3 linked regions of the Oryzias latipes genome follow. The protein of the gene in region 1 binds, or shares a complex with, the protein of each later gene. Links are inferred from orthologs where the notes say so. Each region holds a gene or a part of one and is shown on either strand. Other genes may lie near its edges.

Region 1 (3,066 bases):
CCCATTGTGGGCGGCCTTATCACCCAACATCTGACCTTTGAGTGGGCCGCCACCATCCAGGGGGGCGTGGGCCTTCTGGCTGTGAGTACTCCTGACTCTGCGGGGGTGGGTCCTCATCTTTGACCCACTTTGAAGGAGTCATGAATGTGATTAGCTCTGATCAATCATTAACCCTTTGTGCAGTGAAGCTGTCTCTGTCCACAGGCCCTCCTCCTGGGGATGTACTCCCTCTGGGAGCGCCGGCGGGGGAGGTAACGTCAGATCCATCATCAGGAATCTTCCTCATCAACCTGAAGTCTGAGAGTTTCTGTCTTTGCAGCGTGCAGCAAACAGCAGAAAGCACTCCTTTGCTGGACTGAGGAAACATCTAGGGGCGGGGCCAGCCGCTCTGCTCACGGAGAGAAGATCTGAACGCCATTCCTGCCAGAACGGGCCTTTGTCCGGAGCTTTTCCTGCTTAACAGCTTAGGTCTGGTGAGCGGGATTATTCCCCCAAAAACCTCCAGAGAGCGGACAGGAATCCTGTTCACACGGAGCCGCTTGTTTCACGGGTTTTTACTGTAAATAGTACAAAATAAAACTTTCCTGAACACAATGTTCTTGTTCCTCACACAAACACCTGCAGCCTCAAACACCAAAGATCTTTGGGTAATTTCTGACGGAGAACGCAGCAATAATGCTGTGGAGTATTAGTGACATCAGAACGGCTCTCTGGGTTTGTCCACAGTTTACGTGTCGGCCTCAAAGGCCCTGTTGGACCTCCCCGCTGGTCTCGGTGGCAGAGGTCTGCCTCTTATGGTTCTGGTCGACCCAGAAGTATCTGCGTCAGAAACTGTAGTCTGAGATGAAGACACAGGAACTCCAGGCTTTTTCACCTTCTTCTTTCTTCTGGTTCTGCTTTCAGGAAAGAAATGGATCCTTCAGGAACTCAGCCAGACATGTTTGTGTTGGGGTAACTGGATCTGTGTGGTTCTGGAGGATATAGGAGCTTCTTACCTGGCGTCAGTCAGTTCTGGTTCAGTGTCTGACAGAGTGGGTTCGGACAGAAACCTGAGCTCTCCGGACGAGCTGACAGCAGCAGAGACCTGAAAACCAGGAGGGGGTCAGAGAGGAACAGTTCAGACAAAGTCCGTCTTTAGATCATGACATTCCTGAATGATCCGGATCGGCCGTCTTCCTGTTAAATATAAGCCGGATTTCAGGAAGATGGTCTTTGTTCAGCATGAAGTCAGTCAATACTTTAGTTTGCATTAACATGAGCAGAGAAGGCAGAGTTTGGTTCATGTCTAATAAAAAAAGAAACTGACCATCTTCTGGTCTGTTTTCAAAGGCTTCCCAGAACGGAGCGAGCAGGGAGCTTGTGGCCCCGCCCATTTCACTTGCTGCTCAACAATTTGAATATAGAAATACTCAGATATGCATTTTAATCTTCTTTTATGCAAGTTCTCCATTGTGAGAAAAGGCCACCAGTACATGTTAAATCACCGATGCCATCGGAGTGGGTCTTTGAATCAGAAAACTACGGTCTCGCCAACAGATTACAGAATATGTTCAATATATATATTAATATATGTTAAACCGGTTCATGGCTGGATGCAGAGCCGATGGTCTGTGGTTGATCTTTAACGGTCAGATCTATCATTTGTTACTTCTGTAATCACCACTTTAACTGCCTGATGGGAAGTTCTCAAAGGGTCCGGACCAGTCCAGAACCACCCAGACATCATATAAAATATGATGATATGATAAATATATCATATATCATATATAAAAATGTTGCACTTCCCGCTCGGCCAGCAGGGGGGCGTGATCCTGCTGGATCATTTGATTATTAATGGAAGCGTCTTAACATTCCAGGAACCAAAACCAAATGTACTCCTGTTGAGGGGAGTTTGTAATGTGTTTGTAAAGTGTGAATGAACCCACTCACTGTCATAAGCACACCCTGGACCTTGTTCTAACCCATGGGATAGAGATCAGCCAGCTGAGTGTCCTTCCTCTTAACCCCATCATTTCTGATCACTTTCTGATTACCTTCCAGTTTACACTGGAACATCCTTCTGTCCCAGTGAATAAGAAACAGCTTAGAAGAACCTTAACTGACCGTTCTGTGTCTGAGTTTAAACACACAGTTCAGCCAGTACTTAGTGATATTCTGAGAAAATACTCTGAGACCAGCTCCCATAGTATCAGTCCTAGTATAAATGACCACTTTGTTAATGATGCCTTACAAGCCCTCAGGAGTACACTCCATGTTGTTGCCCCCTTGAAACCTAAGTTTGTTAGACAAAACCGAGTAGCACCGTGGTTTAACGCTGAAACTCGTTCTCTTAAACAAGAAACCCGTAAGTTGGAAAGAGAATGGCGCCGCTCCGGTTCAGAGCAGTCTCTGAATACCTGGAAACATAGCCTATTAAATTATAAAAAAGCTCTGCGTAGAGCTAGAAGCCAGTACTATTCAACCTTAATATCAGAGAATGGAAACAATCCAAGATTTCTTTTTAGCACTATAGCTAAATTAACTCGCAGTCAGAGCTCAGTAGAACCACATGTTCCTGTTTCTCTCAGCTCTGATGATTTTCTTACATTTTTCGATAGTAAAATCTCAAATATTAGACATAAGTTAAATCAAGTTATTCCTACTATCAGCCCAGAACAGGCTGAAGCGGTAGAAATGGAGGCATCCATAGAAACCTCTGTAACATTGGACTGCTTCACTGCTGTGGATCAAGCGGAAATAACATCAATTATTACGTCCTCCAAATCCTCAACGTGTCTGTTAGACCCAATTCCCACTAGACTTTTTAAAGAAACTTTTCCCCTAATTAATGATCCCATATTAACAATGATAAATACCTCTCTGGAAACGGGTTACGTGCCACAGTCTTTTAAATATGCAGTTGTTAAACCTCTACTGAAAAAGCCCAGTTTGGATCCTAGCATCTTGGCCAACTATAGACCGATATCAAACCTGCCCTTTATTTCTAAAATCCTAGAAAGAGTTGTAGTTAAGCAGCTTTACTGCCACCTACAGGACAACAGCCACTTTGAAGACTTTCAGTCGGGG
Region 2 (3,755 bases), on another chromosome or scaffold:
ACAGCAGCTCCTTTTCCATCATCTTCATGTTGGACTGGAGAAGAGGGAAGAGGAAAGTTCAAGAAGACAACAGAGCTGCGACTTGATTTAAAGAAAGGAAATGATGGCAGTGATGAAGGAAATATCTAGATGAACTCTGGTTGTGTGCCGTTTATTGCACAGGACAAGAAGGAAAGAAGAACGTAACCTCCATGATGCTTAGCAGTCCTCCTGTGATTGCTTCACTGCTTCCTATTTCTAAGAGTAAATTGGCTGAGACATTATTTTTAATAAAAAAAAACAATTCAAACAATGCAGAAACATTCTGTTTGCCATTGATTGTTGCTTCTTTTTTTTTTAGGTTGTGGTGGCCCCTTTCCATTACTGCAGCCACAAGGCGCGGCATCCGGTTTCTATGACAACGCACATCTTCCTCTGGCCCTGATTTTATGCTATTTGGCAACATTCTTAGGTTCTTATATCTATTAAAAATGAATTATGTGGTCGTTGCGACTGTATATTTTCTATTGCCATTCACCACCTGACTGTGGCTTTCAGCCTATTCCGGGTTATTAAAGCGATGACAAAACATGTTTGTAAACGGTAGAAAAATGCTCCGCATTCTTATTTCATAGCCATGATTGTCCAGATCAACATACTATCAATAAAGCAAGTTATATGTAAGACTACATTATTGTTTTTCCTCTCTTAGATGTAGCACGTTTGAAATGGCTATATTAGAATAAACCGGCGTCGCACACTTACACTGATACGAACCAGCGCGTCCATGACAGAGGTAAAGGTTTGGAAGTCCTCTTCTGCCATGCTCTGTTGTTCTGATGTGCACGCTTCCAAAGAAAAAATGTTTCGTTTAAAACGATTATTAAGTGGGTGTGAAAAATAATCCCCGGCTGTTTTGTAGCAAACACTAGGCCCTGACGTGCACAGATAGCTGTGCTTGAGGTGTGCTGCTCAATCTCTGTCGTCTATCCAAATGCGAATGGAATGGTTGCTGAAACTGGTGGAGGGGGGTGGGGGCGTTTTGCCCCAAAATGTTAGCTTTATCGGGGAGCGTTTAAAAAACATTCTTTTAGAAAATAAAAACAAAAAAAAATCGGCTTTTCTACGTTCTTTAGATACGCGAGGCTATGTTCATCCTACAATCACACGTTAACTTTGTCATGTTTTATTTTTGTGTGTGTGTTGTCGTTAGATGCTAGTGTTGTGTGCTGCTTAACAACAAAGGCGATGGGTCGCATCCACTTCCCTTTTGTGTCCGGAACGTTTGGAAGGTGGATGTTTTTACGGGTCGCAATATTGGATGCACCCAGCCACTGGCTGTTGTAGCAACCCAATGCGACACCGGGGTGTGTTAAATTTCTATGTATAATTTTGTTTAGAAAAAAGACTATTAAAGAGTAAAATTTTAATTTTATAAGTTCATTGGCTTTAAAAATGCTTGATTATCATTTTTGGATTATTTATTGAACCGCGGTTGCGTTGATATACCGCGAACCAGGAGCGACGACTGTTGTGTGAGATCTGTGAACTCCAACGTGACCGTTTGGCTTTAAAATTTAGAATTTTCTAGCATTTCTGACACTTCTGTGAACCAGAAACAACATGTCTTCTATTAGCAGTCTAATTCCTGCGCGGTTTCTCACCATCATAGCTCACCTTGTCATCGTCATCACAATCTTTTGGTCCAGGGTAAGTAAGGACAGTCCGTGTTGTTGTTAAAGCTTGAAGGACGACTCAAGCTGCCATAGAAATATTTTTTATTATTATTATTAATATTATTATTGTTTTTTGTAAATATCAATAACGTGTAGTTTGTGATTTTAAAATAAAGAACAAAAGTTTTTAAAAAAATCGTGAAATAGAAATAAATTCTACTCCACAAAATATTTTTCCTAAACTGCAGAAATATAGATTTTTGTTTGCTGCAAAAAGTTTATTTCTCCTTTTTTTTATAAACAATTTTTTATCTAGAAATGTTACCATAATCGGCTATTTTATGTATTTGTTTCTGTTTTCTAGGAGAATAATGTGAAGGCATGTTTGCCTTTGGAGTTTACTCAGGAGCAGTATGACACAGAAGACAGAAAGTAAGTAACAAATGATTGAAAATATATGAAAAAATCTTGAATGCTCACATTCTAACCCGCATCCCTTTGGTTATTGTTCAGGTTGGTTGTAGCCTTGTCAGCCACTCTTGGTCTGTTTGCTATCGAGCTAGCAGGCTTCTTTTCAGGAGTCTCCATGTTCAGTTCCAGCCAGGGTCTTCTGTGTATCCTTTATACTGACAGTGATGATTCATATTTGTCATGGTCATTGATACTGAACTATTGATTCACAATTGTGAGGAAAATAAAGATTTTCAGATATTGTCTTTTCTCCAGCAGCTCTAGCTTCTAAATGAGCATCTGGTTTATAGCAGAAAACATGATTTACAAGAATAAATGAATGGATTAAACAATGCTTATTAGTCATTAGTTACAATTCCGTAACTAAGAACTTGTCTGCTATAGCAACAGGAGTCCATGCCAGTGCCTCTGTGGCTTTGCTCTTTTTTCTGTTTGAGCAGTGGGAGTGTGACATCTACTGGTGGATCTTTGCTATTTGCAGGTTAGTCTTTTGACGCCTAGCAAATCCGTTTTATCCTTTTTTCCCCAAAGTTTTCCCTGACAGCTGCTCCTTTCAGCATTAGCTGTCCACTGCTCCGCATCCGTATCTTTGTCTTTCTTTGTGTTTGAACAATGGGAATGCTGGACTTACTGGGTGATTTTTGCCACCTGCAGGTTGGTTCGCCTGCATGCTTGTTTTCAATGAATAGTTGGCTTTTAGAAAGACAGCATACTGTAACAGTCACTCTTATTTTGAAGGAATTTGAATGCATTTAAGGATTGTTCTTTTATCTTTCTGGATTTCTATTAATTTCTTTTTCTATTTCTCATCTTTCAGTGTCTTGCCAGCTTTTGTGGAGATTCTTCTGTTTATTGCGGTTTTTGGACTGAAGAAGAAGCCGTTATGAAGAGGAGTTGATTCAGATTGAATGGATGAACGCTTCCATTTGTTGCTACAAGACAGTAGCTGCAGAAATTCAGTTATTAGATCACCTTAAAAAGGGGCCAACATTGTTAGAATTTCTTCAGCAGGCATCAATAGATCCAGAAAGAATGTTTTTTTTTTCAATCTTTGTAAATATATTTTGAACTATGTAATTACAAAAAATAATTATACTATGTTGTTTGTTTTGAATAAGTTGGAGAGTTAGCAAAAGTTTAAAATGTAAACCAAGTTTTTTGTTGTCAGTAGTGTATTTGTTTCTCATGTAAAGCTTTTCAACGCTAAATCCAAAATACATTTATACTTTTTTAAATAAGTCTTATTTCTCTCATTGTATCTATCTTTATCCTCATTTGGTGACTTAATTGTCAGAGAAATATTAACCAAACTGAGCCAGAAGATAAATTAAAGTCGGGCGACAAGAGTATCCAGAACCGCAAGGTTACAAAACATGAAACAGTAACTTCATTTTTGTGCAGCTATCAAAAAAAAGAAACAGTATTTAAAATTGATTTAGGGAGGAAAAATCCTTTCCTAAATTATTAATGTAGTGAGACATGTTGTAATATAGAAGAATTATGTCTATGAAGACTCTCTTTCATCCAGGTTGATTCCATCATAGTAGTAAGTTTAGGGGCTGTCCTCTTAGTTTTTAAAGTTAGAAAACGTTTCACCTCTTATCCAAAAGACTTTGTCAATTTTGTAAT
Region 3 (3,755 bases), on another chromosome or scaffold:
GGATCTTATATAACACAAACTAGGCCTAATAGAAAAAAACAGTAAAAATAGATTAAAAAAAAGGTTGTTTTTTTTTAATCCACCATACTTTTTTAAGTAATGCATGCAAAATATTGAAATTAAAGCAATACTAGATGATGATGCAATGCTTTAAATGGCGTTTCTCTTGAGGTGATCCTAAACAACCTGCAGCAAATGCGTGTTAGCATGATCATGCCAAGCTAAGCAGGATCGATTTCCGGCAGGCTCCTGCGAAAACCCCGCGTTAGTGTGTCTGTGATGGGTGGTGGAGCCACATCGAAGGACACACAGTCCGCGGAGCAAAAAGGAAAAACACGCGACATGAAAAGAGGACATCTCTCTCTGGTTTCATAACAACAACCCAAACCCTTTTTACCGAGGGAATGGTCCTCTTTAAACATCCATTTCATCTTTGCTGGATTCCCGCACTGATGCGTGACGGCAGGGGCGAAAGGCGGGCTTCACGATCAGCTAACCCTGTTGGGGGTTCAAACTTGCAGAAATCCTGCCCAAAGCGACCAAAACAAAACGTCAACAAAGAGCTTCTGTTGCTCAGCTGTCCGTCTCGCGGAGAGGTGACGTCACCGTCTGGCTGTTGGTGCTCCTGGTGCGTTCAAGTGCGCCCAGCAGTGCTCGGTCCAAAAAAATCCTTGTAGTTGGGGCTGTTGACAGACACGCATTAATATCTAGTTTCTACATTAATATCCTTCTAGTTTAATGAAAACAACACCAAAGAAATACAAAATTAATACAGTCAGACTGAATAAACAATGAAACAAAAATGATACATTGAAATGCCTTAGAACGGTCATGGGCATTTATTATTAGAAACACAATTGTATAAAAAATTTTAATGCTTTTATTTGAGCTTTTATTTAAAATTAATAGTTCCCATAACAACGTAAAAAGATAATAATATATGGGAATTTTCCAGGCATGAAATGAAATAACTACTTTTGTGCTTTTACTTAATTTCAGGACCACAGAAGAGTTTCAGCATTCCCCACAGTTCATGAATGCATCCTGAACCATGGTAGCCATGGAAACCGAGGGACGCTGCAGAAATATGGCGGGGGGCTCGTTTCCTTACATGTTGCAGGGGCTAGCAAAATAGCATTTCAACGCGAAAAGTTATCAGAAAAATATGAATTTACTGGCGTTTAGAATCCAGAGGAAGATTTTTTGGAGTTTCTTAACGACCAGTTTAGGTAGTATCGACATTTTTACGCCGGTAATCATTTAGTCCGCTACTAGGTTAGCATCTCCAGCTGTAGCCTTACAGCTAGCTGTCTTTACACCGAACGTATGGCTTTCTACGAAGTGTACTCTCATCCGGCTGTAATTCGGTACAAAACCAGTGTTTGCACAAAGGCTACGCTGTTCCTGGTTGTTGTTTTGTGCCTAACCTACATCCCACCTCTGCTTGTTGCTTATAGGAGTCAAGGTACAGTATATATATCGAGGCTTTAAAGTGTCCATTTATTTCATTTTGAACAAAAGAATATATTATGTTTTTGTTAAAGTCTTTGTTTATGCTAGAATATAAAAAAAGGATTTTTATTATCTATATTACTTTACACGTTACAAAGCCTATGAGTAAAGCCAGGGCCTTTTAAATAAAGTTTTATTAGTCCAGTAAAAATAACAAATTAATAACATTTCAGCAATATTTCATTCCATTTTTACTCAGATTTATTTGATTTAGACAACAACTATTCTCTTTGAATGCATATGAATAAGCTTTTATATTAAATAACCCAAGTTTTTACAACTTTTGCTTTAAGTCTAGATATGAGTTGTTTTCAAAATGACTAAATCCATTTGTGTCTGTTGAAAGATTAGCCTTAAATCTGTTGGATGTGTTTTGATTTGATTGATGGATTTCATGCAGCTTTCAGCTCTAAAATAAAACAAAATATATACATATATATATGTGTGTATGTATATATAGTATCATTTTAAAATATTAGTTCCTAAACTGGTTTGAGAAAAATAAAATGACAGAAAATGTTTTTATACACTTGACATTACAATGTATCATAAATAGGTATATCTACACCTATTCATACAGTACACACGTGTGCAATACATTGAATCCATAAAATATTATGTTTTTTAAATAGAGTTTGATTAATTGGGTGGGAAAGAAGTGAATTTATAATCCCACACCTATTAAATTTTACCAAACTTTTTTTTTTTTGACATGTTTACAATTTTCTTCCAAATAGGTGGCCGAGCCTTTTCAGTGAATGGGGATCGCTGCAGTGGGATCTTCTGGGTCTGGTTCTTGCATCTGGGGAGTCCTGTAGTGTATTCTGTGAACTTGGGTGGGGCTCACTTGTGAGGACGGTTTATAATTTCCCCACAAAGCCGGATTTCTACTTTCTACTTTGCATCATTTTAGTGAATCATTTGATGCACTACTATAGTGTGCGTGCATGTGTGCGTGCATGTGTGTGTGCGGCGGGGGGCATTTTATGCATTGTATACATATTTTTTGTCTTGCTTTTGGTTTTTTAAAATTGGATTATGTTTTTATGTAAAACACTTTAAGTAACTCAAGTTGGAAAAACTGCTCTATAAATAAAGTTTTATTTGATTTGAATGTTTCAAATCCATTACAGGAACAGAATTTACGTTGTGTTATTTTCATGCTGGCTTTCATTGCACATTAGTGCCTTTGCTTGTAATACAACAGTAACCCATATTACCATTCAAAAATGCCCTTATTAATGCTGTGGAACAAATGTGACAAAAATGCTGCTATTTTGAACTGAATTATTCGAACATATTTGGTAAATGATGAATTATGCTTTTAAAACGTCTTCTGTAATTTTTAAAAATGGGTTCAAATGTAAAAAATGCCATGGAAAAGTCAGAAAAGTTGTTGAATTCTGGGTACATCAGATGGACATGTTTTCTGCATGACAAACCTTGTCAAGAAGCAAATTCCATTCCAAAAAAAAAAAATGAAGCAAATTCTATAGGAGATTGTGGGAAGTTTGGCTGAAGGATTCTAATAGAAATCTTATGCTATTTTATGTTTGGTTTTTGGTTTGATGGTAACATAGAATTAGAAGAAATCTCAACGTCAAAAAGTTCCTAAAACCTTATAGTTTTGTTTTTTCAATTTCAGGTTTCTGGTTAAAGCGAAGCACGTATGAAGAACAGCCGGTTGTGAGGTTTCAGTACCAGACTCTGATGGTTGCAGCCACCGGCACTCAAGGGGACTATGTGGCCTGGAGTACCTTCCCACACCTCAACAACATGCTGGGGCCCAACCTGCGGATCCCTGCCGTCTCTGTGAGAACACATTTGTGTATCACTGATATGTGTGACACTTTTTCAAGTCTTAAGAACCACATTCCTATGTCATTGTGTAAGCTGCATTTCAAAGCATTGCTCCTGTTGCCATGGCAATCTTTCATTGATTAGCCCTGATGAAAAGCTGGTCCATGCTTTTTGTTTCTATACTTTAAACCAAAACCTTAATGTGTCTAAAATATTTCTTTAAGACAAATATCTATTACCAGAAAAGTATGTTGCTGTGCGTTTACACACAAACCCATTTACCTAAAAATGATCAGAGTACAGACAAAGAGAAAGTACTTCTGTAGATCCACACACAGTTTTTGAAGAAAATATGACCAATAAGGTGTTAACACTGTGAGAAACGAGTTTTTTTTTTAAACTCAAGTCCACTTAGAATACTTACTGGCCCGCTGGGATCTTTG

What was found.
Region 2: ahi1 (region 1) and tmem107 share a complex: the UniProt entries of both Homo sapiens proteins name them as parts of the tectonic-like complex. The link is inferred for Oryzias latipes from reciprocal best matches to the Homo sapiens genes AHI1 and TMEM107.
Region 3: ahi1 (region 1) and tmem231 share a complex: the UniProt entries of both Homo sapiens proteins name them as parts of the tectonic-like complex. The link is inferred for Oryzias latipes from reciprocal best matches to the Homo sapiens genes AHI1 and TMEM231.

What each region holds. Positions count from the first base shown.
Region 1 is NC_019880.2:267,448-270,513, reverse strand, and holds the end of ahi1 (jouberin), read right to left. Parts: intron 1,307-3,066; exon of another isoform or gene 1,085-1,306; coding exon 996-1,084; exon of another isoform or gene 904-995; intron 897-903; coding exon 728-896; 3' UTR 540-727; downstream 1-539. Other genes in the region: MFS-type transporter SLC18B1, read left to right, coding at 1-81, 205-251, 320-359. UniProt on the Homo sapiens protein: Involved in vesicle trafficking and required for ciliogenesis, formation of primary non-motile cilium, and recruitment of RAB8A to the basal body of primary cilium.
Region 2 is NC_019874.2:18,549,811-18,553,565, forward strand, and holds tmem107 (transmembrane protein 107), read left to right. Parts: upstream 1-1,295; 5' UTR 1,296-1,602; coding exon 1,603-1,689; intron 1,690-2,019; coding exon 2,020-2,087; intron 2,088-2,168; coding exon 2,169-2,269; intron 2,270-2,510; coding exon of another isoform or gene 2,511-2,607; intron 2,608-2,683; coding exon 2,684-2,780; intron 2,781-2,943; coding exon 2,944-3,013; 3' UTR 3,014-3,365; downstream 3,366-3,755. Other genes in the region: tripartite motif-containing protein 46, read right to left, coding at 1-34, 745-804. UniProt on the Homo sapiens protein: Plays a role in cilia formation and embryonic patterning. Requires for normal Sonic hedgehog (Shh) signaling in the neural tube and acts in combination with GLI2 and GLI3 to pattern ventral and intermediate neuronal cell types.
Region 3 is NC_019864.2:27,557,433-27,561,187, forward strand, and holds the start of tmem231 (transmembrane protein 231), read left to right. Parts: upstream 1-1,047; 5' UTR 1,048-1,326; coding exon 1,327-1,465; intron 1,466-3,157; coding exon 3,158-3,324; intron 3,325-3,755. Other genes in the region: gamma-aminobutyric acid receptor-associated protein-like 2, read right to left, coding at 398-431. UniProt on the Homo sapiens protein: Transmembrane component of the tectonic-like complex, a complex localized at the transition zone of primary cilia and acting as a barrier that prevents diffusion of transmembrane proteins between the cilia and plasma membranes.